7 linked regions of the Canis lupus familiaris genome follow. The protein of the gene in region 4 interacts with the protein of the main gene of each other region in a pairwise test. Links are inferred from orthologs where the notes say so. Each region holds a gene or a part of one and is shown on either strand. Other genes may lie near its edges. The genes, in order: ABI2, RBBP8, HOMEZ, PIN1, GLI1, MEOX2 and CEP76.

What was found.
Region 1: the proteins of PIN1 (region 4) and ABI2 interact in binary tests that used the Homo sapiens proteins (3 or more experiments, as listed by UniProt). The link is inferred for Canis lupus familiaris from reciprocal best matches to the Homo sapiens genes PIN1 and ABI2.
Region 2: the proteins of PIN1 (region 4) and RBBP8 interact in binary tests that used the Homo sapiens proteins (3 or more experiments, as listed by UniProt). The two-hybrid records come from large-scale screens. The link is inferred for Canis lupus familiaris from reciprocal best matches to the Homo sapiens genes PIN1 and RBBP8.
Region 3: the proteins of PIN1 (region 4) and HOMEZ interact in binary tests that used the Homo sapiens proteins (3 or more experiments, as listed by UniProt). The two-hybrid records come from large-scale screens. The link is inferred for Canis lupus familiaris from reciprocal best matches to the Homo sapiens genes PIN1 and HOMEZ.
Region 5: the proteins of PIN1 (region 4) and GLI1 interact in binary tests that used the Homo sapiens proteins (3 or more experiments, as listed by UniProt). The link is inferred for Canis lupus familiaris from reciprocal best matches to the Homo sapiens genes PIN1 and GLI1.
Region 6: the proteins of PIN1 (region 4) and MEOX2 interact in binary tests that used the Homo sapiens proteins (3 or more experiments, as listed by UniProt). The two-hybrid records come from large-scale screens. The link is inferred for Canis lupus familiaris from reciprocal best matches to the Homo sapiens genes PIN1 and MEOX2.
Region 7: the proteins of PIN1 (region 4) and CEP76 interact in binary tests that used the Homo sapiens proteins (3 or more experiments, as listed by UniProt). The two-hybrid records come from large-scale screens. The link is inferred for Canis lupus familiaris from reciprocal best matches to the Homo sapiens genes PIN1 and CEP76.

The regions. Positions count from the first base shown.
Region 1 is NC_049258.1:12,103,411-12,106,910, reverse strand, and holds part of ABI2 (abl interactor 2), read right to left. Parts: intron 3,350-3,500; coding exon 3,203-3,349; intron 2,436-3,202; coding exon 2,311-2,435; intron 1,283-2,310; coding exon 1,100-1,282; intron 1-1,099. UniProt on the Homo sapiens protein: Regulator of actin cytoskeleton dynamics underlying cell motility and adhesion. Functions as a component of the WAVE complex, which activates actin nucleating machinery Arp2/3 to drive lamellipodia formation.
Region 2 is NC_049228.1:65,288,209-65,291,708, reverse strand, and holds part of RBBP8 (DNA endonuclease RBBP8), read left to right. Parts: intron 1-1,568; coding exon 1,569-1,657; intron 1,658-3,181; coding exon 3,182-3,299; intron 3,300-3,500. UniProt on the Homo sapiens protein: Endonuclease that cooperates with the MRE11-RAD50-NBN (MRN) complex in DNA-end resection, the first step of double-strand break (DSB) repair through the homologous recombination (HR) pathway.
Region 3 is NC_049229.1:3,678,737-3,682,883, forward strand, and holds the start of HOMEZ (homeobox and leucine zipper protein Homez), read right to left. Parts: upstream 2,801-4,147; 5' UTR 2,352-2,800; coding exon 2,264-2,351; intron 1-2,263. UniProt on the Homo sapiens protein: May function as a transcriptional regulator.
Region 4 is NC_049241.1:51,553,172-51,556,671, forward strand, and holds part of PIN1 (peptidyl-prolyl cis-trans isomerase NIMA-interacting 1), read right to left. Parts: intron 3,264-3,500; exon of another isoform or gene 3,128-3,263; intron 2,426-3,127; exon of another isoform or gene 1,393-2,425; intron 1,107-1,392; exon of another isoform or gene 839-1,106; intron 385-838; coding exon 274-384; intron 1-273. UniProt on the Homo sapiens protein: Peptidyl-prolyl cis/trans isomerase (PPIase) that binds to and isomerizes specific phosphorylated Ser/Thr-Pro (pSer/Thr-Pro) motifs.
Region 5 is NC_049231.1:1,917,677-1,921,833, reverse strand, and holds the start of GLI1 (zinc finger protein GLI1), read right to left. Parts: upstream 2,801-4,157; 5' UTR 2,455-2,800; intron 1-2,454. UniProt on the Homo sapiens protein: Acts as a transcriptional activator. Binds to the DNA consensus sequence 5'-GACCACCCA-3'. Regulates the transcription of specific genes during normal development.
Region 6 is NC_049235.1:30,370,403-30,374,474, forward strand, and holds the start of MEOX2 (homeobox protein MOX-2), read right to left. Parts: upstream 2,801-4,072; 5' UTR 2,441-2,800; intron 2,238-2,440; exon of another isoform or gene 2,077-2,237; 5' UTR 1,785-2,076; coding exon 1,271-1,784; intron 1-1,270. UniProt on the Homo sapiens protein: Mesodermal transcription factor that plays a key role in somitogenesis and somitogenesis and limb muscle differentiation. Required during limb development for normal appendicular muscle formation and for the normal regulation of myogenic genes.
Region 7 is NC_049228.1:78,163,202-78,166,701, forward strand, and holds part of CEP76 (centrosomal protein of 76 kDa), read right to left. Parts: intron 2,599-3,500; coding exon 2,265-2,598; intron 385-2,264; coding exon 167-384; intron 1-166. UniProt on the Homo sapiens protein: Centrosomal protein involved in regulation of centriole duplication. Required to limit centriole duplication to once per cell cycle by preventing centriole reduplication.

The sequences.
Region 1 (3,500 bases), on a different chromosome or scaffold from region 4:
GGCATCCAGTCCCATGTCAGGGCTCCCTGTTCAGCAAGAGAGTCTGCTTCTGCCTCTGCCTCTCATCCCACTCGTGCTCTCACTCTCTCATAAAGAAATAAAAACAAAAAAAATATTAAAGTGCTATTACAGACACTATCCCATAAAACACCATCCAAAATCCATTTTAGCTAAAAGTATCCTTTAACACATTTAAACATCTGGTTATAGCTGCAGAGCTAAATATGTAATCTATGAAATATTTGGCAAGCTAAGGTGATGTGTGTCCAAACATACACATTTTTGTTAATAGATAAAGAATTTGTTTACTAACCAGCATCACTATTAACTTTGCAAATACATTTTGTAGCAACTGAATCTTCTTCCCCCTCCCCATCAAAACGGATTTTAGGTTGCTATTTTAAAACACTGAAACACCAGTTAACCTTAAGTAACATTTAACTAAACATGAAATTCTTTAAAAGTCCATTATCTAGGGACGCCTGGGTGGCTCAGTGGTTGAGCACCTGCCTTCAGCTCAGGGCGTGATCCCAGTGTCCTGGGATCAAGTCCTGCATCAGGCTCCCCAAAGGGAGCCTATTTCTCCCTCTGCCTATGTATTTGCCTCTCTCTGTGTGTCTCTCATGAATAAATAAAATCTTTTTAAAAAGTCCATTGTCCATATGTTTTCAGTGCTGCTATAATAGAGACTTCTAAACTGTTTTATCAGATATTTCCTATAAAATATACCTTATAATTATTTCCATATTATTTCCATAGACTTTTCTCTGTTAAAGTCTTAATCTGTAACAATATTTCTAACAACAACGTCTCAAAACTGTAAGAAGATGGCTCCATATTAAATTCACAGAACTCCAATAAATGAAATTCAAGCATTAAAAAAATGTGTATTTGTGTTACTCTACTGGAAAAAAGCATGTGAACTTTACCCTGATTTCCTCAGGAAATTCTATTCTTGGTCACATGCCATTTTCTAGTTAGTCTGTTATTCTTCAGATTTTATACACACACACAGCACAAACAAAAGTCATAAAGCCAGAGTTCCAGATAAAAGAGCCAGATGACTGGATGTGCCTGCCAAAGAACAAGCCATACTCACCTGTAGGGGGAGTGGAAGAAACAACAGGGGGAGTTGGAGAAGTGAAGCCATCAGCAAGGGTCTGGGCCCCCCCAGCAGCAGCGTCTGGGGCAGTGGAGGAAGGGACAGTAGCAGGAACAAGAGGGGCAGGGGCAGATGCAGAAGTAGCAGGAAGGGGAGGAGTACCAGCAGAGCCAGCGGGGGCTGAGGGGAAAGAGGAGTAAGAGGCGGCATTAATGAGGCAGACCCATTAGGCAGGATTAGAAAAAGCATTAGAGAACCTAATGTTAAATATTCAGCGCTTAACACTAACCAAAGAAAAGAAGAGAATAGGGAAAAAAATGAAGCTTATATTAAAGGATAATTAGGTTTGCAGCAAATAATTCAAAATGCTCAGGGCAATGTACAGATTTTTTAATTCATTAAAAACAGCATTCCGTTTTACCTGAAAGCCACTACTCTAAGAAAAGTAACTTTTCTACTGTATTGTACCTTTTATATTATAATTTTTAGCATAGTATTTTGTAAACAGTATACAAAACTAAACATAATACATTAGGAAACAGTATTCCATTTTGAAACACAAAAATCAGAAAATAAACATATTCTAGACAAAAACATTAGGTAAAAAAAAATCAGAAAAATCTTTTTCATGATTTTAAAAATATTATTATAAAAAAATTATTATCTATTTGGTATAAGTAAATTAAATACAAAAAAGTCTATCCCTAGGTCTTTTGTGTCACACTTTTAAAACTAAAGTTCAACTTTGATGAATAAATAAATTAAATAAGCACATTTTTCTGTTTCAGAAAAAAAAAGGTAGCATTTCAGAGTATTAAGTTCCAAGAGTCCACTAAATTTAACTGCCAAAACTACTTTTAAATTTGTCCAGTCCTTTTTTTACCTATGTGATTCTCACACTGTGTCCAAATGCACGCAATGTCATAACGCTGGAGTTAAACATATAACTCATACCCAGGAGGTACCTGAAACCTCAAAGCACCAACTGAGCCACTGCACCAAAGACAAAGCCAAATAACAGAGGTATGTGAGCATAAATTCAGAAATCACTTGGTTAAAAATAACAAATGCATAAAGATTTCCCAACATTTATGGAGTCCTAAAGGAAAAAAAATCTTCATTATGAAGAAAGCCCATCATTATTAAATTGGAAATTGAATTCAAATTCAAAAAAGACAAGTAAAGATGAGGCACCATTCATGTTTTACCTGGAAAGACACTGGGAGGAGAGGGAGTAGGAACAGCAATGGGAACACCCACACTCCCACTTCCACTGTTCTCCCGACTGCTGCTCCGACTACTTGGGTGACTTCCTCCACTACTCCCACTGCTGCTAAAGAAATAAGAGCCACCAAAACATGAGTATTTATATAAGATACCACCAGCACTTCCCAAAATTTTCTGAAATGAATATAGCTAAACAAAGATTATTCAAAAGCCCTCCATTTCATGTATTAATTTCTGAGTAAAACAGGAAAAAAACATGAGTTCAAGAAATTCATTCTGACTACCTTTTAATAAGCATCTATTAAAGAAAGTGAAATTGAGAAAGAAGGAAAAATTCTGTAGAAATATAAGTGGTAAGTGACAGGACTCAACACACAAAAATAGTATTACTTTTACTGCCTGAAGAAACTTGTTTTATAATAAAAAACACAGTTTTCCTAAACAGGTTATTTGATTAATTTTATTTATGATATCTTGGTGTACCATTTCATATTAATGTTTTACCATGTATAGTTTTTCATCTGTAAAGTTCCACCAAAAAACAACTTGCAATTTCCCACATCTAATCCATAACTTTTTTCCCCACATCTGGTCCATAACTTTCTTTCAGGTCAACTACAACTATTAATTTTTTAGAGAAGTTTGTATTTTTAAGATGTCTGTTTTTTCTGGGTTTATTATTTTTTTTCCAACTTCCTGACCTCAAAGCTGCATCAGAACATGAGGAGAGAGAGGCAGAATCAGATGAGGTTTGGGAGAGTAGAGTGAGGAAAAGAACTTAGTGCTTGGAAAATGAGAGAGATTTAACTGAAGTAATCTGAACAAATTATGGTACTATGACCATCACATTTTGCACTGAGGTAGAGAAAATACCTGTAAGTTCGATTTCTTTGATTCACAGAAGCTGTCCTCACAGGGCTCTGCTGCGAGGGAGCCATATTACGGGTTGGGCTAGGTACGTAATCATTTGGTACCACTGGAGGACGCACTGGCTCCAGTGTGCGATAGGGGGAGTGCCGCCTACAAAAAGAAGAGCGTATGTATTGTGTGATTAGCAAATTTCGGCACAATAAATTCAAAGAGTTGCCAGTAGTGAAATACAATTTGTATTCAGAGATAGGAAAATGTTTTAACATAACCCAGCTACCAATTTCAGTTTTTCCTTAAGTAT
Region 2 (3,500 bases), on a different chromosome or scaffold from region 4:
AAATCTTTAAAAAAAAAAAAAAAAGGAATGCAGATTGGTACAGCTACTATGGAAAACAGTGTAGAGGTTCCAAAAAATTAAAAATAGAATTACCATATGATCCGATAATTCTACTACTGTGTATGAGAATACTAATTCAGGGGGTGCCTGAGTGGCTCGGTGGTTGAGCATCTGCCTTTGGCTCAGGGCATATCTCGAGTCTGGGGATTGAGTCCCACATCGGGCTCCCTGCACAGAGCCTGCTTCTCCCTCTGCCTGTGTCTCTGCCTCTCTCTCTCTCTCTCTCTCTCTGTGCCTCTCATGAATAAATAAATAAAATATTTTAAAAAAATTTTAAAAAGAGAATACTAATTCAGAAAGATATATATACCCCATATTTCATTGTAGCATTATTTACCGTAGCCAGGATATGAAAGCAACCCAAGTGTCCATAGATAAATCAATGAATAAACAAAAATGCGGTTATGTATATACAGTGTGATATTACTGAGTCATAGAAAAGAAAAATATCTTGCCATTTACAACAACATGGATGGACCTAGAGGGTATAATGCTAAGTGAAATAGAGAAAGACAGATACTGTATGATTTCCCTTACATGTGGAATTTAAGAAACAAACAGAAGAGACAAAACTAAAGCAGACTCTTAAATACATAGAACAAACTGATGGTTGCCAGAGGGGAGGTGGGGGAGTGGGAATCAGTGAACTAGATAAAGGGGATTAAGAGTACGCTTTCTTGATGAGCACTGAGAAGTGTATAGAACTATTGAATCACATTGTACATCTGAAACTAATATAACACTGGATGTTAATTATACTTGAGTAAGAAAGAATTTTCTACATGAAGAACAATACCCATTAGCAATCATTCTGCATTCCTCTTCCCTCTTTCCCAATCCCAGGCAACTAGCCTACCCTCTATCTCTATAGATTTGCCTATTGTGTTTTCATATGAACGGAATCATATATGATTTTTTGTGACTTTTCATTTTTTCACTACTATGAATGTTCATAGCAGAACATTGAGTGCAATCTTATGTAGATGTATATTTTCATCTTTTTTGAGTTATATATAGGAGTAAAATTGTTAGACCATATGCTAACTGTATTTAACCTTTTGAGGAACTGTTTTCCAGAGCATCTATGTCATTTTACATTCCCATCAGCAACACTTAAAGTTCCCATTTTTCTACATTTTCACCAATACTTGTTATTATCTTTTTTATTCTAGCCATACTTTGGGTATGAAGTGTTATCTCATTGTGGTTTTGATTTGCCTTTTCCTGACAGCTAATGCTGTTGAATGTCTTTCCATATGCTTATTGGCCATTTGTATATCTTCTTTGAGGATTGTCTGTTTAGATTCTTTGCTTATTTTCAGTTGGGGTATTTGTCTTATTATTGAGTTGTGAGAGTTCTTTTTATGTCCTGGATGCAGCCCCTTTAGCAAATAGAGGATTTGCAAATCTTTTTTCCCATTCTTTGGATCTCATAAGGTTTTAAAGTGATAAGAATGTTTAAAATCCATTTTTTCCATTTTAATTGTATTTTTTTCTCCTTATTGAAGATGGATCCTTTGAAAATATCCAGTGGAGCATAGATCCAGGAGCAGACCTCTCTCAATATAAAATGGATACTACTGTAGTAGATACAAAGGTAAGTTAGAAAGTAAAACCAAGGCCCATGTGGTTATTCTAGTAAGTTGTTAGTCATCCTTCTCCCCTAACTAACTCTGTGACGTTAAGATAATCACATATCTGCATTTATTTATTCCAAATAAAACCTGCATTTCTTTATTCAGAAAACTAAGAAATGAAAATGCTTATTCTTCTAACTTTATGATGTTTTTGAAAGGGTAATAATACTTTCTGACTTTAAAGGCCTTTGTTGAGACACCCAAGGGGCTCAGTAGGTTAAGCATCCGACTCTTGATTTCAGCTCAGGTCATGATCTCAGGGTTGTGAGATTGAGCTCTACATTAGGCTCCATGCTGGGCTTTGAACCTACTTAAGATTCTCTCCCTCTCCCTTTGCCCCTCTTCTCTCTCTGTCTCTGTCTCTGTCTCCCTTTCTCTCTCTCTCTCTCCCCCCCCTAAAAAAAATGAAAAAGAAAGGCCTTTGCTGAAAAATATTATAGTATTAAATAACGAAAAATGCTAATTACATATTTTAATAATTTTATACACACACATATATATTTTAAAGATTTTATTTATTTATTAGAGAGAGTGCGCGCACGCAAACTAGGAGGAGCAGAGGGACAAGCAGATTTCCCTGCTAAACAGGGAACCCGATACAGGGCTCAATCCCAGGACCCTGGAATCATGACCTGAGCAGTAGGCAGACACTTAATCAACTGAGCCAGCCACAGGCCCCTTAATAATTTTATATTTTATCAAAATAATTCATCATATGCCTTGATTAACTTTTAAAATAACATACCATAAAGAAAAAAATTATTTTCCCAGTTGGCTATTTTTTAAATACTGTATATTTCTCTAAAAATTAAAATTCCCAGGCTCCTGGGTGCTCAGTTAAATGTCCAACTCTAGATTTCAGCTCTGGTGATAATTTCAGGGTCATGAGTTAGGCCTCACATTGGCCTCATGCTGGGCATGGAGCCAGCTTAAGATTCTCTCTCTCCTCCATCTGCCCCTCCCCTGCTCTTAAAAAAAAAAAAAAAAAGATAAAATTCCTAGTGGAAATAACTCTTTTGGCTTGTTTTTAGGTTTTATATAGTTTGAAAAGTACTCTTTCACTTGGGAGCATATTAATGAAGTATTTAACTTGGTACAGTATGAAATTGTTGTTCTTTGTGTACACTGACATTCATTACTGTGAAGCCAACTGGAGAAGAAAGGGAGGAGAAGCCCAGGGAGGTCAGTGGTATGCATCTCTCCCTTCCTTGGCAGCAGTCCTTCTTTTTGTGGGCTTGAGAGAGGATACTTGTGTATTGAAGCTAAAATGTTTTACAGGCAATAAAACCTAAATCTATATATATTCCTAAAGAATAAAAATAAATATAACTTAATGCTATTGAAGTGTACACTTAAAATATGGTAAAAAAAAAAAAAAAAAAAAGGTCAATTTCATGCTGTGTATATTTTACCAGAATTTTTAAAAAGTAAATATAAGGCCATATGGGATAATTGTTAAAATTTTTGAATTTTTAAATATTTAGGATGGCAGTCAGTCAAGATTAGCAGGAGGAGAGACAGTGGACATGGACTGCACATTGGTTAGTGAAACTGTGCTTTTAAAAATGAAGAAGCAAGAGCAGAAGGGAGAGAAAAGTCCAAGTAAGATTTGATTTTTTTTTAATTTAATAAAAATGTAGAGGGAAGTTTATAGTCATACCATTGCACTGATGACCAGAAGTGACCTCTTCACCATAAACCAGGGGTTTTTTCTTGTTCTGATGAATAGATTTCTCTTAGTAAAGCTCAGTTTCAGTATTACAAGGGGAAAATATCTTTAGCCAAAATCTTTTTTTTCCAGAA
Region 3 (4,147 bases), on a different chromosome or scaffold from region 4:
AGAACTGGACAGGTTTAGGAGAGGAAAAATCCAAGGATAGAAGAAATCCACCTGCCCCTATTCTAGAGTGTGTGCTGAAGACTCCCTCTTATGTGGATTTCACTCTAAAACTTTAGAAGATGGAGTAGACTGTATGGGGATTGGAAGAGAGGAAGAGATCCAGGCTATCCGAGATGGGAGGGCCCCACCTTTAGCAAGATAACGAACCTTCCCAGCTCTTCCAGGGACTAGTGCTGAAGAATGGGGACTCATCATGCCATCCTCAATATAGAGATGTTAATCCCCCATATTGGTGGAAGTTCTCTCTTCCTTTGCATGACTTAGATATTAGCAGGATTAACCAAGAGGCACATTTACCCTATAGCTAAAGAAGCTGAAGTTTCAGGGCCATCTCTTGCACAGACCTCTTCCAAAGCACTGAAGGAGCCCCAAGAACATGTTAACATGGTCATAGTTTTTTGTAAAACTTGAAAAAAATATTTCAACTGCAATTGACTAAGATTGATGTCTCTTTCCTTTCTGACTTCCCCTCCATTATACTTCTTTTGTCAAGTGGCAGTGGAGGGGCCATAGGCATTTTGGGATTGGTTAAGGAAATTAAGTTGGGGATACATTTGCTTTGGGTTGAGTAGGTCTATCACTGTGGTTTGCAGTTACTTCTGTAAATAGTTTAATAGTAAGCATAGTGTTAGGGGCTGAACTGTGTTGTCCACCCCCCCACACACACACACACACACTCCATATTCTTACTGTGAAGTACTAAGTCTCGATACCTTGGAATATAACTGTATTTGGAAACAAGGTCTATAAAGAGGTAGTTAAGTTAAACTGAGGTCTTCAGGGTGAGTCCTAATCCAATATGACTGGTATCTTTAGAATAGGAAATTTGGACACAGACACGAACATAGGAACGACCATGGGAACACATAGGGAGATGGGTATCTATAAGCCAAGGAGAGGAACCTCAGAATGAAGTCAACCCTGTGGATACCTTGACCTCAGACTTCTACCCTCTACAATTGTAAGGGAATTTCTGGCTAAAGCCACCCAGTCTGTTGTATTTTTGTATGGCAGCTCTAGCTGACTAATACATCTACATTAATACGAATGTCAACGATCCAGAGCATATTAGTCATTACAAATTTGAAATGCTCTGAAATTTTATATCACATACATCAAGGAAATTTGATAGTGTTTTTTTCAAGTTTGATAAAAATCTGAAAAAAATTGTGATTTTTTTTAATTTTTTTTTAAGATTTTATTTATTTATTCATAGATACAGAGAGAGAGAGAGGCAGAGGGAGAAGCAGACATCAGAAGCAGACAGAGGGAGAAGCAGGCATCATACAGAGAGCCTGACGTGGGACTCGATCCAGGGTCTCGATCCAGGGTCTCCAGGATCACGCCCTGGGCTGCAGGCGGCGCTAAACCGCTGCGCCACCAGGGCTGCCCAAAATTGTGATATTCTTATCACTTATAAAGTGTGAAGGTGAAAATTTTCTAAATCACTAAGAATAAAAAAAAGTGTCATGTAGAAGACTTTTCTATACTCCTTAGAGAAAACATTCTCATCATAGAAGCTATCAAGAGCATGCACTCAGAAATAAAATTGTAAAAAAAAAAAAAAATGCTTGTCAAGTAGGTTTTAAAATTTTATTTTTCTTGATTTTATGATATTGTATTTGTCAGCTCTTTAAAATTTTTATCTTTTCTCATTCTAAACTATTTTCACTTTTGTGACTAATGTGTTTTTCTTTTAAAAGTCTCCAAAAAGGGGCATCTGGGTGGCTCAGTGGTTGAGCATCTGCCTTTGGCTCAGGGTGTGATCTCGGTGTCCTGGGATAGAGTCCTGCATTGGACTCCCCATGGGGAGCCTGTTTCTCCCTCTGCCTATGTCTCAGCCTCTGTGTCTCATGAATAAGTTTTTTAAAAAGCCCCAAAAATTGTGCTTCAGGCACCCCAAAACTAGCATCTACCCCTGGGACAACCCAAATGGATATGGGGAGTTTCTGCCTCACTTAGGGGAAACATGCTCCACCATTTTGTGCCCGGTCTCCTAAGAAATCCAAAAGCTGAGGGCTGACCAATCAGAACTGCAACTATTAAAAGATTTGGGATAGCTAAAGCTGCAGTGAAGGAATTTGTGGAAGAATTTCAGACAGACGTAGCACTAAACTGTGAGAAGCCAGGAAAGACATTAGGGCCACGGAGGGACTTTAGGCAATAAGCCACAGAGAAAAACCCTGGGAAGCCCCCCACTTACCTCTCTTTGGGTGTCTGCTCCTCATGCTGACTCTACCCTTCAGCATATCTAGCTTCACAACGTAAGTGTGGGTGCTCTGTAGTGACATCACAACTTGGCCATTATGATGAAATTAGGAGAATCTGATTATTCTCAGGTTAGGGCTTTCCTATTAGAAACATTGTCTCATTTGTGGGTAACTGAATTCTCTCATTGTTCAGGTGATGTGGAAGTCAAAATTATGTTAGAACCTGATCTTTTTCAAGGATGCCTCACTTTAATATTTATTGTTCCACTCTGGATTAGACAGAGGTCTTTGCTTTTCCTCTTCATATTTCTTGTGCTTTACTTTAGGGTTGCCCTTGATAGAGAAAAGGGCTTTGCTCTGCCCTTCAGTGCTTAAGAAGAATGTAACTTAGATGGTCCCCCGACACAAGGGGAAACTCGGGGATTTTATCCTTTAACTGTACCAGGAATTGGTGCTGGGTGCTAGGGAACTAGAGCTGGGCCCCCTGATAACTTTCCTGCCACTACCCAAATGGTGGGATTCTATTGGGGTGTCTTATACCAGTGCTGCCCAGCTCCTCTGTATCTTCTGCCCATCCAACTTTTGTGTAGCAATAGGACACCAATGGACAGGGCTTTTAGGAAATGAGATGACCAAGAAATGGGAAATAGGGAAGAGGAATCTTGCCGCTGGGTCTCTTGCCACCCCCCCCCCCCGAAAAAATCAATTTATCTCAGTATCTTATAATATACTTTCATATTTTACCTTTATTTCAAACATGAGGCCTCTTAACCAGAAGGGAGGGCAGTTGCATGAGGAAGCTGAAGTGAGGCTCAGCGCTAGTGGGATTGGGGCCCAGAGAACAGGGCTGCGCTGTGAAGGGGATGAGGACACTCTGGGACGGCCTGATGAGAACTGTGGTTTGGGGGGATTCACATAGCAAACATGCAATTCCTCTCCAGGTTAGCTAGTCAATGGGTGAGTTATTCAGTCTTTTTTTTTTTTTTTTTAGCAACTTCACTGTTCCTTAGCAATATCACCCAAAGTGCCAAGGCTTGGGAGAACAGAGAAAACTACAAGTGCCTTTTGTTTCTTTTTATGCCGGTATAGAAAAGGGAGTGGAAACTAGCAGCAGAAAATGAAACATTTGTGATATTATCCTTGCCATGAAAAACCCCAGGTCTGATTGTGCAGCAGCCTGTTTTCTAGCCTGGGAGTGGGATATGGTCAGGAAGGCTGGGGTTAAGCCCCATCTCCAGCTGCACTAACAAATTCTCTGACCTTGCTGAAGTCACTCCATCTCCGGACCTGTGTTCTCATCTGTACTGAAGCAGGGACCCCAGTGATCTCTAAAGATAAGCTTTTCCAGGTCTCTGATTATATGACTTGCAGATTGCAGGGATCCAGAGTTGCTCCAGAGAAACACAGGTGTTAGAAGGGAAGGCGGGTGTTAGACTGAAAAGTTCAGGGGTTAGGACTTACTATGAAGAGAAATAATGAGCTGCATTCATAAAGAGAAACAAGGTACAAGAAGAAGGCTCGTAGGTGTTAAGACAGGTTGGTGTAGGGAAACATCTGAGGTCTAGATGAGAGAAATGGGCAATGTTCCAGCTGTGTTGCTTCAAGGGTTCAAGCCCCTAACCAGGGTAATGTTTTCTCTTACAGTGCTGTCTCGTCCACAGCTGACGTATTATATGTTAAATTGTTCCTGTTCATATAGTCACCAGCCTTTAGGGGAAAGGACTCATCCCAATGCCTAATATGTAACACATCTCTAAAGATTGCTTCAAACTTCTAGTATTTCCCATTCCAGATTAGACCACCAGCTTACCCCCAGGCCCTGGGGCAGCTCTATTTGGGAAGAACTAGAAGATTCAGGTGTTGGCTCTCTAAAGCTG
Region 4 (3,500 bases):
GCCGTGTCCATGATGGGGACAACTGCATCGAGGGACCCACAGACGGACTTCCCACCGCAGGGGGGAAAGGAAGCCAGGCAGAGGGCTCTGCAGCCCAGCCAACCCCCCAGCAGTGGGAGTCCCTCTGGAGCCTGCGGGACTGTGCTGCCACCTGGTGGACCCTGAAGACCTGCACAGCCGGGGCTACCCCTCCCAACCTCCCCCTGGCAGGGGGATCCCCGCGGCTGGGACAGAGGCTCCTCTAGGGCCAGGTAGTGCCCACTCCTTGCGCACCTCTGCTGAAGGCACCCAGGTCTCCCCTGGCCTTGGCCGAACTGCAGTCGCTGAACTGTGAGGCCAGAGATTCAAAGTCTTCCTCTCCTGACTTGATCTTCTGGATGTAGCCTGTGGACATACAGGGAGACCTCTCATCAAAGGCAGGGTGGGATGGAGCGGGGGGCTCCTGATGGAGGGGGCACTTCCCTCGGAAAGGAGGCACGCAACCCCTGCCCTATTTGCAAGGGTGACCACTCGCTCCACACACATTCATGAACACCCCCCACCCCCCCGCCACCAAGTGTGCGCCCCCTGACCCTGTGGTGGCCTCAATAGCCACACTGGTCTCAGAGCCCGTTCCCCCACCCCAGCTCCCTTTGCCACTCCTACCTCCCGCCCCCTACAGACATAACATGAACACAACATGACCTTTTCCCACACCCCAACACATATTTTGGGGAAAATCTCTACCTCTAGGCCCTGTTGGGGAGGAGGGCAAAAAGCAGGGCAAATACTGAAGAGGGATGCTGGGACCCAGGGCCCTGCCAAGATCCCACAAGGCACTGATGGGGAAATTTTCTAGAAGTTTCCAGGAGAAAGGCAGGAGGCTGGGGCACCAGGCCAGCTCTGCCACAGGAGCTGTTGGCGGATCCCCTGGGCCTCAACTGTCCAACCTATTGGAACTGGGAGGAAGGCCCAGGCTGCTAAGTGGGGCGTCGTGAAGAGACCACAAGGCAGCCGAGACGGGACATGTGTCATTTCCATGGACATGGCCTCATAGCAGCCGACACCGTTCTTGCAGCTGCCCTAAAAGGCTGTGGTGGCATCACACTGGATGCATCCTGTGTGTGGTACAAACTGCTTCCGCTGGGGACTCATCTCCTGGGGGCGGGGGGTGGGGGAAGGCTGAGGCTGCACTGAGCACCTATATGACTCACATGTGGGGAGCAGGGCACATAGGAAGGCTGTGTTTGCGTGGTGAGGAAGAGCCTCCTGTTGCTCCTGAGTCCAGGTTCCAGGCAGGAGCCCCTAGAGCCAGAGCCCACCCTCTCCTCCTCAAAATGCCCCATCCTGCTCCAACCAGCTGCCCCAGCGCTTGAAGGAACATTCCTGCCAGTCTTGTCCCTGCACCCACAGGCGCAGCCACGGGGTGGACTCCCAGGACATGCAGCTCCAGACCACCCTGGTCCCACATGGCCTCCCTGACAGCTACTCTCCTGGGGACATTCTGCACACCCACCCAGCCCACCCCGGGTGTGAGGATCACCCTGTTATCCCTGCTAGTGGGCTTCTGCACACCACCCTCCACTGCTCCTGTCTGAGCACCACAGGGACGCTGCTGATTAAGCCACCTGGCGAACTGAGGCCCAGACACCCAGCCGGGGCCATCTGCCTGCTGAGCTCGTGCAAACTCCGCTATGACCACAACTGAAACAACACAACTGTGACAACACATCTATCACCCCATCCTGTCCCACACCATGGCAGCGCCTGGGTCCTGGTATCTGGTCCACTGGGGGCCTTCCACTGCTGTCCCCCTCACCCTGTCATCCCCATGTCCCAACCATCCCTCTGCTGCTGGCCCATTAGTCATCTGCCAGCAGACCACAGTGACAGCACAGTGTGCCTGCCATGGAGACTCTGACAAATGTTAGGTGCTGTCACAATTCTCCCATCCATAAGGGCCACGCGTCTCAGTGATAAGACTCCCCCCGTTTCTGTGTGACTTGCCCATCCCTGGGCTATCCTGCCTGTGCATCTTGTCATGGGACAGGCTGCCTGGTCAGAAAAGCTTGCCAGTGCGACATGAGCCCCACCCTCCATGGGCAGGGGTGGCTTCTGCCTGCAATGCCCATGCTGGGGCTGACCATGCCCGCTGGGGCTGCTAGGTGGCCCCCCAGTGCTAGCTGCACCCATTAGTGATCCAGCCTGAACTGGACATCACCGAGACTTCTCTACTCCCTGGACTCCGGGCTATCTCTTCGCCTCACCTGGGCAGCCTCAAGATTCTTCCTCCTTTCCCTTGTCTGGACCTCGATTCGCTGGCCAGAGAATCCTGTGCATACAGTGCTCCCTGCTGTAACCTGCCCGGCTCCGGGCACAGGCCCCGCACCTGCAGAGCCGAGCCCAGTACAGCACCACCTTGCCGCATCCTCCAGGAGCCGATGCTGTGAGTCAGCAGGGATCCCTGAGACTAGATGGCCTGGCCATGGTACACACAGATATCAGCCCAAAAATCAAATAAAAGCCAAGTTTCTGCCCGCCATAGTTCATAGCACCCAAATCTTCCTCTGATCAGCCAACTCTCAGGAAATGTTCTGCTTGGACAGGAGCCTCAAGTGACTTAAAAACAAACAAAAAAAAATCACTGCTTTCTCATCTCCTCTTTCTAGAAGCTGCCCGTCAGGAGTCTGGCCACAAGCCAAGATGCAAGGGAACCCTCAGGCCCCTGTGCATCCCCTGGGCTCAGTATTAACCCAGCCCCCGTGACAGCCCTCCCAGTCTGCCCTGCCCCTGCCACCTCGAGGCCTTTGCTTAATGGTCTCTTCCCATAGGAAGCTCATTTGTTGTCCTCTGGCCTCATCCAGGAGTCTTTCCTAAGACCCCGCTGTGGGAGGTGCCCCCCTACATTTGCCAGTGTCCCATCTGTGTGTCACCTGCCTCAGACTGGGAGGGCAGGGCCAGTGGGCCTTGCTCGCTGCTGTGTTCCCAGCACCTGGCCCTGTGCACAGAACAGGTGCTCCCTAATGCTGAAGGAATTCATGAATAAATGAGACAGAAACAGGCCACAGAGAAGGAGGGAGAGGGATCCACCCCTCCGCTCCTTAGACAGAAATGCTGGAATCTCATGTCTCTTTCCTCTGTGCCTTAGATCCAAATGCTCAAGGGGGGAGGAAAAGGAAGCACATACCAAACACCCCCTGCCACCCTCCTGGCGATGCCCTGACCTAGCCAGCCTGCCTCAACACCCCTCACCGAGACGGCACTCCATCCAACGGGCGCTCCAGGTGAGAGGCAGATCCTGGGGGGCAGCCTCTCAAGGAGCTCCCCATCTGAAGCAGGGAACTTTTACCTGATTTGGGGAGTTGGGGGGCCTTTGAAACTGGCTGCATGACAGAAGTGCATCTGTCGCTGCTGGGAGGTCACAGGCTGGCCTGCTCCATGCGTCTCTGAGGCCAAGGCGGGTAAACTCTAGACTCCCCCACTGTTGTATTCAGATCTCAGCTCTACCCATCCCGAGCTCT
Region 5 (4,157 bases), on a different chromosome or scaffold from region 4:
GGGAGAAGGGAAGGCACAGGCACCATCCAGGGGAGAAGAGCTGCGGGAGGAGAGGGTTGGGCCGGCGCTTCCCTCCTCAAACTCCGGCTTCGGCTCCAGCCCGGGTTTTCCCGCCTCCCGGGGCCGAGGGTGGGGTGGGGCGGGGTAGGGTGGAGAGCGCTCGGGAGCGGGCCCGGCCGGCGCGGTGGGTGATCCCGGGATGCTGGGATTTAGGGTAAGGGAGGGGTGAGATGGGGAGCGGAACCCGGACCCCACGACGCAGCCCGAGCCCCGCAGCCGGGACCGTACCCTTCCTAACTCCTCCTTTCCCAGCGCAGGGCCGGGCCCCGCATCCAAGACCTCCCAACTCGACCTTGGCACTTTGTGTGTGTGGGAGGGGGGGGGGGGGCACAGCTGGCTGGCAGCTGGATAGGGGGACACTTCTCCCGCCTCCTTCCTCTATGACTCACCGGGGGAAGGAGGCGGGGCCCGCAGACGACCCCCCAATACTAAGGAGACTCCCCCAAACGTGCCTACTCGGGCATCTTCCCGCGCCACTGCCCGCCGCCGAGGGGCCGCGACTAAACGGGGCGACATCCCCGCTCGCCCACGCGTGCCACAGCCCACCCACGTCTCCCCTTCGCCCTGGCGACAGGAAAATTTCGCCAACGTTTCCAGCTTCAGTTACGTCTTTTGCTGGGGTGTGGATGAGAGCGCAGGCCGGGGCAGGGGGCTGAGGGTCGCCCTGATGGAGCCCTGAATCACCCTCGGCGTCTCCCTACTTTCCGGAGGCCCCCTCGCACCCCCGCTCCCCAACTCCCAGGAGTAGGCCCCGCCCCCTCCTCCGGGTCCCGCCTTCCCCGCCCCCGTGCCTCCTCGGCCCACCCAAGTCGCCGCCGCAGGCTCTGGCTGCAGACGGCTCCGCTTCCCCCGCCCGCCCGGGAGCCCAGTGGAGCGAGCCGCGGCGGAGGGGGCGGGGGGGCGGGGGGCGGGACGCATTCTTCCCTCCTCCCCTCTGTGCGGCCAGAAAGCTGGCAGCGGCGCCCGGGGGGGCGGCGGGCACTGTTGGAGGGGGGGGGGGGTCCCCGTGGCTGGGTGGAAAGGAAAGAAGAATCCAGAAACTATAGGGAAAGAAGGTGCCTGGGTAAATAAAACAAGGTGTGTATGGGAGGAGGGAGGGGTCAGGACACCTTGGGTTTTGATTTTCGCAGCCGGCTTCCCAAGGGTTAACCCCTCCAGACCCCCGGGAACCCCTTAGTGACGTCAAGGGCGGGGTCTGTACTGCCTGGCTAGGGATGCCGGGGAGATAACTGGGGGGGTGTCTCTGGACCCCGCCCCCATAGGGAAAACCACCCTAATTCCGGCCCTTACAACTCCCCGGGGAAATCGCCCCGCCTTCCCCTCCCACTGGACAGTGAAGATCTATCCTATGAAGACCCCCAGTTCTCCAGCCCCCAAAACCTTAAGTCCCTAGTCACTATGGGATCCCCTTTCCTAATCCTGTCCCCAAAGCCAGCGGCCCAGGGCGGATTGTTTCGGGGTCACCGGGCCTGAAAGAGGCTTCAGAGCGGGGAGCAAGGGCAGGCAGGGTGGTCTGAGGCAGAGGAGGGGCCTCGGCCCCCAGCTCCCGTTGGGGAGGGGGGTCCAACCGGGATACTTAGGCAGGCAGTGGCCAGTGGTCCCGCCCAGTCCCAGTAGGGGTCTCCCTGCGGCTGGCCCAGCTGTCCCGGTGGTCCTGAGGTCAGAGGGTCAAGCCAGGGTCTCCTCAGCTCCGCCTCGGCACCCTGACCACGGCTCTGGGGACTCAGGAGTCCTAATTCCTTGAGGAGCCTTCTAGGGCCTAAACAAGACGCCGGCCCCTCCAGCCCCCTTCCTAATCCAGAAGACGCTCCGTTCCCGAGAACACATGCACCAGCAAACGCATCTGTCATAAGACAGGTCAGGGGTTCAAGCCGAGCCATCCCCCACTGGTTTGTCCCCTTGCACACACCCGTCTCCACCCCACCCAGGGCTCTCTCCGTGGCTGTTCCCTCCTTTCAGAAACCCTGACGTCTCCTGCGGCCCCGACACACCTGGACTTCCGTCCCTACCACGCAGACCTCCAGCTAGCCGTCCCTCCTGCCTCTTCATGCCAACCTCCTGGAAGTAACCTGTCCCTAATACATAGGAGAGGCGGAGACAGACAAAGAGATCCCCGGGTGCCTGGGACAGAGACACAGAGGCTGTCAGAGGAAGGAGAAGGAGAAGGAGAAGGAGGAGAAGGAGGAGGAGAAGAAAAAAGATACAGAGAAAGGGAGATACAAATGAAAAAAGTCCTTCAAACTTTCTAGATCTCGGCCCGGGCTCTCCCACCCCCTTTGTGCCTGGGTGCCCCGGGTCTCCCTCTGGGCTGGCCAGAGCCCGTCGCGAGCAGGGCATCCCCTCGCCCCCTCCCCTACGGTTCCCAGGTGGTCCCCCGCCCGCCCCCCTTCTCACCTCCTTCTGGGCGCCGGGCTCGGGATGCGCGGTCCAGGGCTGGAGTGTGGGCTGGGGGGTGTGCGGTGGGGAGGGGGGGCGCACAGGGCCACGGCAGCGCAGCCTCATGCCACCCCCACCCCCTCCTAACCTGGCCGCCAGCCCTCCCGCCGGCCCAGCCCGCCGGGCCGCGAGCCGGGACCACCCGCGAGAAGCGCAAACTTTTTTTTCCCTTTTGCAGAAACTTTTTCTCGCTCAGGCAGCTGGCGCGCCGCCGCTCTTCCCGCTCGCCTCTCACCTCCCTTCCACTTCCCTCCCTCTTGCCGCTCTGGAGAATGAGGCGGGGTAGCAAAAGCTAGAGAGGGGGTGCCGGGCTTATTGCACCCCCAGGACCCCCAGGATCCTCCCCCTCCCTGGAGGGACCCTATACTGCCTCCCCCCCCCCCCCCCCCCCCCGCTGAACACGCTGCTGCTGGTGGGCAATAAATCCCGGCATGGATCCTGGGATCGGCTGCCCACGGAGCGGCACCCCCACCCCAACCACAGTCAGAAAAAAACTAACAAATACATTGGGAGGTGGGGGGCGATGAAAAAGTTCATCCAAGAAAGATAATATTGGAGGGTAGCGCCGCCGACTTTGGTTGGTGCTGCGAGTATTGCGTCATCCTGCAGGTTATCTGTTGACCTCCCTCTTTCAGGGGAACATGAAGGGGTTAGGACAGATTTGGGGTTTGGTGCAAACAGGACTGGAACAGAGTTGGCTTAGAAGTGAAGGGTCTATAGGGCATCGAAGAGAGGGCAGCGGCTGAGGCTCCGGGTGCAGAGTGTGCGGTTCACACTAAGGAACCCTGGGGAGGCACTCAAGCGCTGTAACGCGGAGACACCCCCCACCCCCCACCCCCCCGCCCGGTGTCCTGCGTCTCTAAGTTCTGGAGACTGCGGGCACCTCCGCACCTCGAGGCCGCCGGCTCTCTGCTCTTCCAGGCTGTCTGCTCCCTCTGCTGGCCTCTCTGGCACATGGCACACTCCCGCAGGCTGCAGGCGGAGAAGACTGGGGGAGCTGCAGGAGTAGGAGGCTTCCTAGGTCCCCCCACCAAACCCCAGTTAGGAGCCCAGGGAGGGGTGTACCAGCCCAAAGAAACAGAAGGGCACCCTAGAAGAGGCTGCCAGTGCGGAACGGCAGCGTCTGAGAGGGGAGTGCCCTGTCCCTTCGGATCTGTGTTGCCATAGTGACTGGATGCAGGGGAAGGGGCAGCTATTTTAGTCTCTGTGACCTTTCTTTATGAGAAAGGGGAAAAAACGTGGTGAGGAAAAGGAGTCCTTTCCTTTCCTGTCACCCCTCAGATAGACCTCCCACATCTTAGCTCTGCTTCCAAGAAGCACCTTCTTGGGCCTGGAGAGTTAGTAGGTCAGCTATTAAGACTGAGGGTCAAGGGGAAAAGGTGAAAGTGGGAAGAGGTCTGAGGCCCTGCAAATATAGGTTGTAATTGTGGGGGAACAGATACAGAGTCCTGTTTCACTGTCCCTCCCCCATATGACTTTGGCCTAGACACCAGTTATACCCAGAGGTCAGGCAAGACCAGCGGTCAACGGGAGAAGGAGCCCTACACATTCTCCTGCCTCAGCCGTCTGCCCTTTCTTTCAGAGAAGCTCTTTTTTTTAAATTTTTAAAAAAGATCTTATTTATTTTTTTAAAAAAGATTTTATTTATTTATTCACGAGAG
Region 6 (4,072 bases), on a different chromosome or scaffold from region 4:
GCCATTTACGTGGGATCTTACCTAAAGCATTATGAAAAACAAACATCTTCCAATCCTTCGCATCAATACCTGTCATTGCCTTCTAGGACTGTTAAACCAATTCCACAAAAGAAGAAAAATGTGTAAATATTATATTAAACAAATGACACTTTCCAAAAGGGATGGAACGCAGGGCACGCTGTAGCTACAGAAGAAAATCCACAAGTCCCTTAATTGTAAAGTATCTCTTAACAATTGGACGATGATACAGATTGTGAAGGGCTTTAAGGAGTTGCTTGGAAAGCTTTAGTGTCTGGGATTGCTACAATTTACTTGGCAGTCTGCGCATTCAAGCATCTGCATTTAGTAAGGTTCGCTTTTGCGTGGCCACTCAAGTTATCCCCACATAGATCAGCGCCTCCTGCGCGCACCCTCGAATACCAGCCTTAAGCACGTAGAGAACCAGCACTACCCCGGCTGCTGTTTGTTTCCAAATACTTGCCTCCAATAATACTCAACAGAAAGATATTTTACTTTCCACTTTGAAACTCAGATTCCCTATTTAGATTAGCACCACACGAATACAACTACTATTAAAAATCGTTTTTTTTTTCCGCAAGAGTCTGAGCATGTATTTATTTACCGTTCTTTGACACATTCCTTAAAATCCTCTGAATTCCTAGATTGTCTCCTTCCCCAAGAAAGGGATTTTTTTTTCTTTTTTTTTACCATTTGGAATAGGGTGCTATTTAAAGAACTCTGAAATCAGAATAAAAAAAAAAAAAAACTAAAACTTTTTTTTTTTTCTCATACGTTCTGCCAAGTTCCACTGCAAGTTCCAAATATTGTGCAATAATTTGGAAATCCAGTTAACGATGGGAAAAATCGAGCCAGTCGGAGTCGGGAACTTGCAAGGGAAGAGTCAAGGAGCGGCACCCGCACGCACGCCCAGCGGACGCCGCAACCCCGGGTGCGCTCCCCTCCCCACCGCTCAGATGGAAGGTCACGCTTTGCAATCGATTTCACGTACTGTCACTTGTCCTTTTTTCTTAACCCTCTGGTAAACTAGTTTGAACTTTGGAGAGCTTATCGCTGTTGGCTGCAGTGTTGCCCTTGGAGAGAAACACGTGCCCCCAAATAACAGGACCAAAGCAGCCCCCGCCGAATTTGGCGGCGCGGAGCCAGAGAGGGCGAGACGCGTACCCTATTCCCCGCCGCCTCACTGTAGCGCCAGAAGCTTCTCTGTCCTTTCCCCGCCCCCTTTCGCCGACCGTGCCCGGTGCGCTCTTACCTGAGCTATCACTTTTCCTTTTGCCGCCACTTCTCTTCTCCGCCTCCGCGGGTGACAGCGCCTGGCGGCCGTAGTCTCCTGGCGCGCACGCGGCCCCGGTCGGGGTGCTGGAGCCCAAGCTGGAAGAATTGGAACACAGGACCGGCGGGCTGCTCCCCAGCTCCGGGGGCCCTCCCGAATCCGGCTGGAGGCAGAGGCTGTGACGAGCCGCGCTCGGGGGGGAGGACATCTGCGGAAGGTGCCAGTTGGTTTGCAGAGCTTGGTGCTGCTGCTGCTGGTGGTGGTGGTGGTGGTGATGGTGGTGGTGGTGGTGCCCCCTGTGATGCTGGCTGGCAAACATGCCCTCCTCGTTGGGGTATCCCGCGATTATGCAAGACGAGGAAGAAGTGGAGAGCTCGGGGTAGGACATATGGTCAGATCTTCCATGGAGGGCGAGAGAGGACTGGGAAAACGGGTGCAAGCCTTGCGCGGTGGCGTGAGGGCTGCGCAGGCAGCCAAAGAGCGGGTGTTCCATAGCATGCACGTCTCAGGTTCCAGGCAGAAGACTTCACGATGGTTCCGAACGCTACCACCCTCTGTCACTTTTCACTGGAAACCGTGTGTTTTCCCCCTCCCAAACAAATTTTACCCGCCGTTTCTGCAGAGCTCGGATAATCCCGGTCCGGAGCCCTAGCGGCCAGTCTCCTTTACATATAAACACTCGGACCTGGAGAAGCTTCCCTTCGAGCTACTCAGATGTCAAGAGTAGGAGAGGTTGAAGCCAAAAGAAGGTGGTCCCAGAGAACTGCGTTCAGGGGGAAACGGCTCTGAGAGGTTATAAATAGAGTGTAATGTGAGCTGGGGGCTGGCTCAGGAGCCCGGAGCTGACCACATGCAAACTCCCTCCAAAACTCCCGCTCAGTCTGCGCCACGCGCTCCCAGTTCCACTTCCTATCTCCGGCTGGACGTGCGCACTGCGTCCACGCCCGCCCGCCCTTGCCAGCAGCCCAGGCTGCGAGCCGCGCGCCTGGCGCCTGAGCCCGGCCCGAGCCCGAGCCCGAGCCCGAGCCCGAGCCCCAGCCCCAGCCGCGCGGACAGCGGCTCTCCCCGCCCGCCGGGCCGCCAAGGTGCCCTCCGCGCCCGCCCGCGCACGCCAGCCCCAACTCTGCACCCACCGCCCGACCCGCTCACTTCTCTTGTCACTGCCACTCGGGCGCTGTCACCTGCGGGAAAGCTCGGGGTACGCCCGGCTCTTGGGCTCGAAAGGGGAAGTAGGATTACGGAAAAAAAAAAAAAAAAAAAAAAAAAAAAGATTAGTTTGGCGCGCGCTCAGACAAGTTTTTCAAACTCTGCATCGACTCGTGCCCAGGGCGCAGCGGCGCGTCTAGCTTTTCGCAGCTGTTTTCTCCGTCCGGGTGGGTGGTTACCGCGCTCGGACCCGGCATCCGAGGTTTCTGGGAAGTGCCCCGCGGGTAGGAAAAGGGCCATTCTCAGCGCCGAAAAGAGAGAGACCTGCTGGGGTGCGGGGGACAAAAGCGTGGGGGCAGCAACAGTTGCAAGATGTCCCGAGACGCTGGCATCCTCACCTGCGGTGCCAGGTGGGGGTCTTTCTTCTCTTCCTATCTGAGTATGCCTTTCCTGCTTTGTTTGCACAACGTCCTTGCCCTTGCTTTCCTGGTCCACGTCAAATTCCTAGCCATTTGTCAACCCAAAACTTTTCGGGCAGGAAAACCCGAAGCGCTATCGCCGTGGTGACATGTGATGCGGTATCTTGCAAGCACATTTCCAGTCTTTCCCCTCAGGAGTCAGCTCATGTCCCCTCGTCTCCCTCCAGAAATTCACCTTCTCTTCCGCTCGAAAATAAATCAACTAATGGCACTGCTTCTGGCTCCCCCTTCCACCCCCCCCCCCTCCCGCGCCTGCCGCCATGGTCCCATTTACAGGGCAAATATTACACTTCGATAACCCCCAAAGTTCACCGAAACTGGGCGCTGCTTCAGATCTCCCTGGTTCCGCTCTCGCATCATACAAAATTAGTTAGAAGACTTGCCGTCAGTGAATCAGTGAGTAGGCGCGGCGGCTGGGCTTTAACACTGCCACTTGCTTGAGGGGTGACACTGTCTGCTGGGGGCACAGTCGTTTACACAAGGCAAGCGAGCCGCACTGAATGAGCTACAGAAACAGTCAAGTCCTGTCTGGGACGGTTCGCATCAGAAGATTGGCGCTCACCTATGCCGCCCAGGACCACAAACATGCCACCAGCAGTGTAGCCCCGTTATTTTCATTGTCTCACGTGTCCAGAGGATGGGGACCAGGTCTTTGAAGTTGTTAATGGGATTAATGAGGACAGCAAACCGGGCCAGCCATCTGGTTTGAATTAGGAAAAAGTATTGATTAATCTTTGAGAAGTGTCCCCAAGGCAGAAACTTTCCCTCAACTAGTCCCTTCAGGTTTCAGCCTATCTCCCTGGTCTTTTAAGCCCCACTGCTGAATAGTGGCCTCTCAATAAACCTTTACATCCGTGTGAAAGTTCGAATTGTTTTCCATTGCTTAGAGGTGGGATGGGGTGGGGGTGATCAGGAATTCTGAGATTTGTAAGCGCTGCTTTCTTTAACGGAAATTGAGCCCTATTTTGAGGGAAATTAGTTTTGCAGACTTCGTTAAAAAAAAAAAAAAAAAAAAAGCTAAAACTTTTGTTCACCAGCTGCTCAGCTTTTCAGTCTGGGTCTGAGCTGGAACCTGCTGCAAGCTTTTGACGGTAAGACTTTCTTTGCCGATATGTTTTGGGAATCTAATATTGTTTTAGACTTCGAAAGGGGGTGT
Region 7 (3,500 bases), on a different chromosome or scaffold from region 4:
AGTTCAGATCATGAGATCCACCCCCGCACTTGGGTCCATGCTTAGCACAGAGTCTGCTTATCCCCACTCTGCCCTCATCTCCTACTCTAGTTAATTAATTAATTTTAAAAAAATCTTTAAATTCCTAAGACAGTTAACATTTACAAATTCATAAATTCCACCTTACCGAAGACATGTAGCAAATGCGCGCCTTGCATTTCTATAGACAAAATGTATTGGGAACCCTTTAAATGTGTGACCATCAGGTACAGCCCTCCTTATGGCATCTTGAAATTCTTCATTGCCTGCAGATATACTTGTCGTACGCTCAAATTCATAAGAAGCCAAAGCTGGTGATAAGAGATAGGAAAGCTGGTCTTCCCAAACAGTAGTGAGCCCAAGATCCTACAGCAATCGAAAAATAAAAAGAAAAGGTGAAATATACTAGTATTTTAATAACCAATTATAAGTGTTGGTGATTTTAATACATTTAAAATATAAAAAATATTTTAATATAAAGCCCATCATAACTTTTTAAATTTTCTATTATGATAAGGACACGTACAAATAAAGGAACTACAGGTACCTGGTTTTACTTAGAAGTAAAAAAAAGAAAAAACTTTTAATACATTGATGTTAGTAAAGGCTCAAAAATCTGTACTTCCTTAATATTCACTAGAAAATACTACATGGAACAGTCCTACTATGGAAAACACAGTGCTGCTGAAATCTGAAATCACGTTTTATTTAAAGAGTAAGATTGAATCAGCTTAATTTAATTGTTCCAACACAAATTCAACTATAGTAGGAGAGAAAAGTCAACAAATGAATTACATGATAATACTAACTTTTATACCGTAAAGGGATATAAAGGTGAAAAGATATGCTTTAGGCCTTCAGGGAGCTTAAAACATGTTTCTATAGAATGTTGAAGGCATTTAAGATTTCACTTGTGGTATGAAATGAACTCCATATATCTATACACGTGATATTTTAAAAACATTGTTACAAAAAAAATTTTCTCAAAAATTCTAAATATTTTGATTATCATAATAGATCTCTGCCATTTCCTGATTTTGTATTCAAGGTTTTAGCTGGTTCCAAGTAACCCCAAAGGTCTATGTTCATCTATCTTTTTTTCTGTGGCGAAAAGTAAATCTCACTTACTGGCTTTCAGGCACCATTAACTTAATGATCAACACTAGCATCTAGCTCAGTTTTTTGTTTTCTTTTTCTACATAAATTCCTATTACAATAAAATACTGGTCTTATTTGTAAACAAGACCTAGGAAAACTAAAAGGCAGTATAGTATGAGTGATGGAGGGAAAGATGCAGTAATGAGGGGCTTTCATTCTCCGCAGTGTAAGTGAAGTAGGTCCTTGAACAACCTACTGCTGAGAACAAACTATAAGTGCCAGATTACTTTCCAAAATACACTTCTAAAAGCTTTGATGAGTTGGCAAGTGAGTAGAGCAGATTTTAGAAGCCAAACTAATAGTAATTGGAAGCCCAGAAAACATAGTTAATAAATCACTTTGCCTTTGATGCCCTCAAGGAACACAGTAAACAGGATTCACTGAAGGTGGAGAGTCTATTATGGAATGCCAAAAGATGAATTAGAAATAAGTCTTCTGAGATTCTAGTCCTTTGATGGTTATGTGTTGCACCCACTCCAATCATGTTTTCATTCATTCCCTGACTGGTTTCTTCCAATGAACAAAAATTCTTAAAATATACTAATCTTTTTATATCTTTTTATGTTTGTTATGTCTAATGCACAAAAGAAATCTAAATGGCTAATAAGAGGACTGATCTCATTAATAATCAGGGCAATGCAAATTAAAACTAGAATGAGAATATAATTTTACATCCAGCTAAATTCATGTGATAGGGCAAAATAAAACCAACCTGGAAAAAAATGATTATGAAAAAAATATAACCCAGTATTTTCAGTAGGAATAATATGAATTAAGTACTCCACAGAAAAATAAATCCAAAGAGTGGTATTCAGCAAAAGTCTGAACTAGTTTACCACTCTTCATTTCTAGAAGTAATAAATTCTAAAAATATTAGTGAGTTTGGAAACTTTTGGTCTCAGAACCTAACTCTCATGACTTTCAAAACTACAAGCTTAAAGGCAGGAACAAAATTTGTTTTGTTCAGGGCTAGAACAGTGACTGGTACTATCCTAGCTGCCCTCCTCCCCTTATTATTGTTAAATACATAAACAAATGAAAAAAAATGCATGAAACTACAAATATCAGTATATATCAGTATTAATTACCTTCCTGTGTTCTGACACTAGCAGTCTTAGCTGCATTTCTATTTCATTACTTGTTACTGAAGCATCAATTGTGGATGCACATAGAGGGGGAAAAGGAGGAAGGGATGTTGTAGCTCCTGGAGCGCACACAGATCTGATTGCTTCTTCACTCATGGGTTTCCATTTGGATTCATCATTCAAATCAAATACACAGATTTCTACTGAGTCAGAGGGCTGACAATTTCCCAAGAACATCTGATGATTGAAAACACAACCAATTGTTCGATATGGGTACAGAGGTTTGGGCTGTTCTGCAACTGGAGATTCATCAGGATTGGCAGGTTTGTGGATGTACCTAAAAAAAGTAAAGTATAATTTTATACAGTAAAAACTTAAAAATTAAGATGGTAACATTTATTAAGAAAGATATTTAGGGCTATAACTATTTCCCAGGACTAGAGTTTAATACTTGTTTTTTCTTATATTTCTACAATTTTATTACAGTAATTGTATGGCACATATGATATAAAAATCAACTTTATTCAACATGAGAATATATTCTATGTATAACCATTAAGATCAAAATCATTCATCTCAAATAGCACAATTAAAATACTTTAGCTATACATTAATAGGTACAACTAACAAAAATGATTATCAACCAGGGGAAAATTAAAAAACCTAAGAAGATGGCCCAGGGCTATGCCTTTAGAAACTCCATTTGTAGATCAGATAAAGGTGAAGTAAGAACAGCCAGATAAGAATAATATAAACTAAAAAAAAAAAAAAAAAAAAAGGAATAATGAAAACTGAAAGACAATGCTATGGTAGAAGCTAAGGAAAGAGATGGTTCCAGGAAAGAGGGAACACCGAACTCTTTCAAAATCTGATGGCAGTCCAAAGAGCTAAGAAAAGCATACAGTGAATTTACCAATGTGGAATTGGTGACATCAAATTTTCAAAAGAAATCATGATTTACAACCTCAATTTATTTTTAGGCTTGGGGAAAAACATTAGAAAAAGCATATGCCAATTACAAAATTTAAAATAAATTATTTTTTAACCAATATTATATTATATTAATATATTAATATTATTATATTATATTGGTAAAGAATATTTTAGGTGTACAAATTTTCTTCAAATTAAGAGCTGTTTTAATTGAAGTAATCTTTTGCTTGGTCATAAAAAGGCTCTAATAATGAAAATTATTAATTTGTGCGTTTGAGTACCATCTAATATAAACAAAGAATCCTT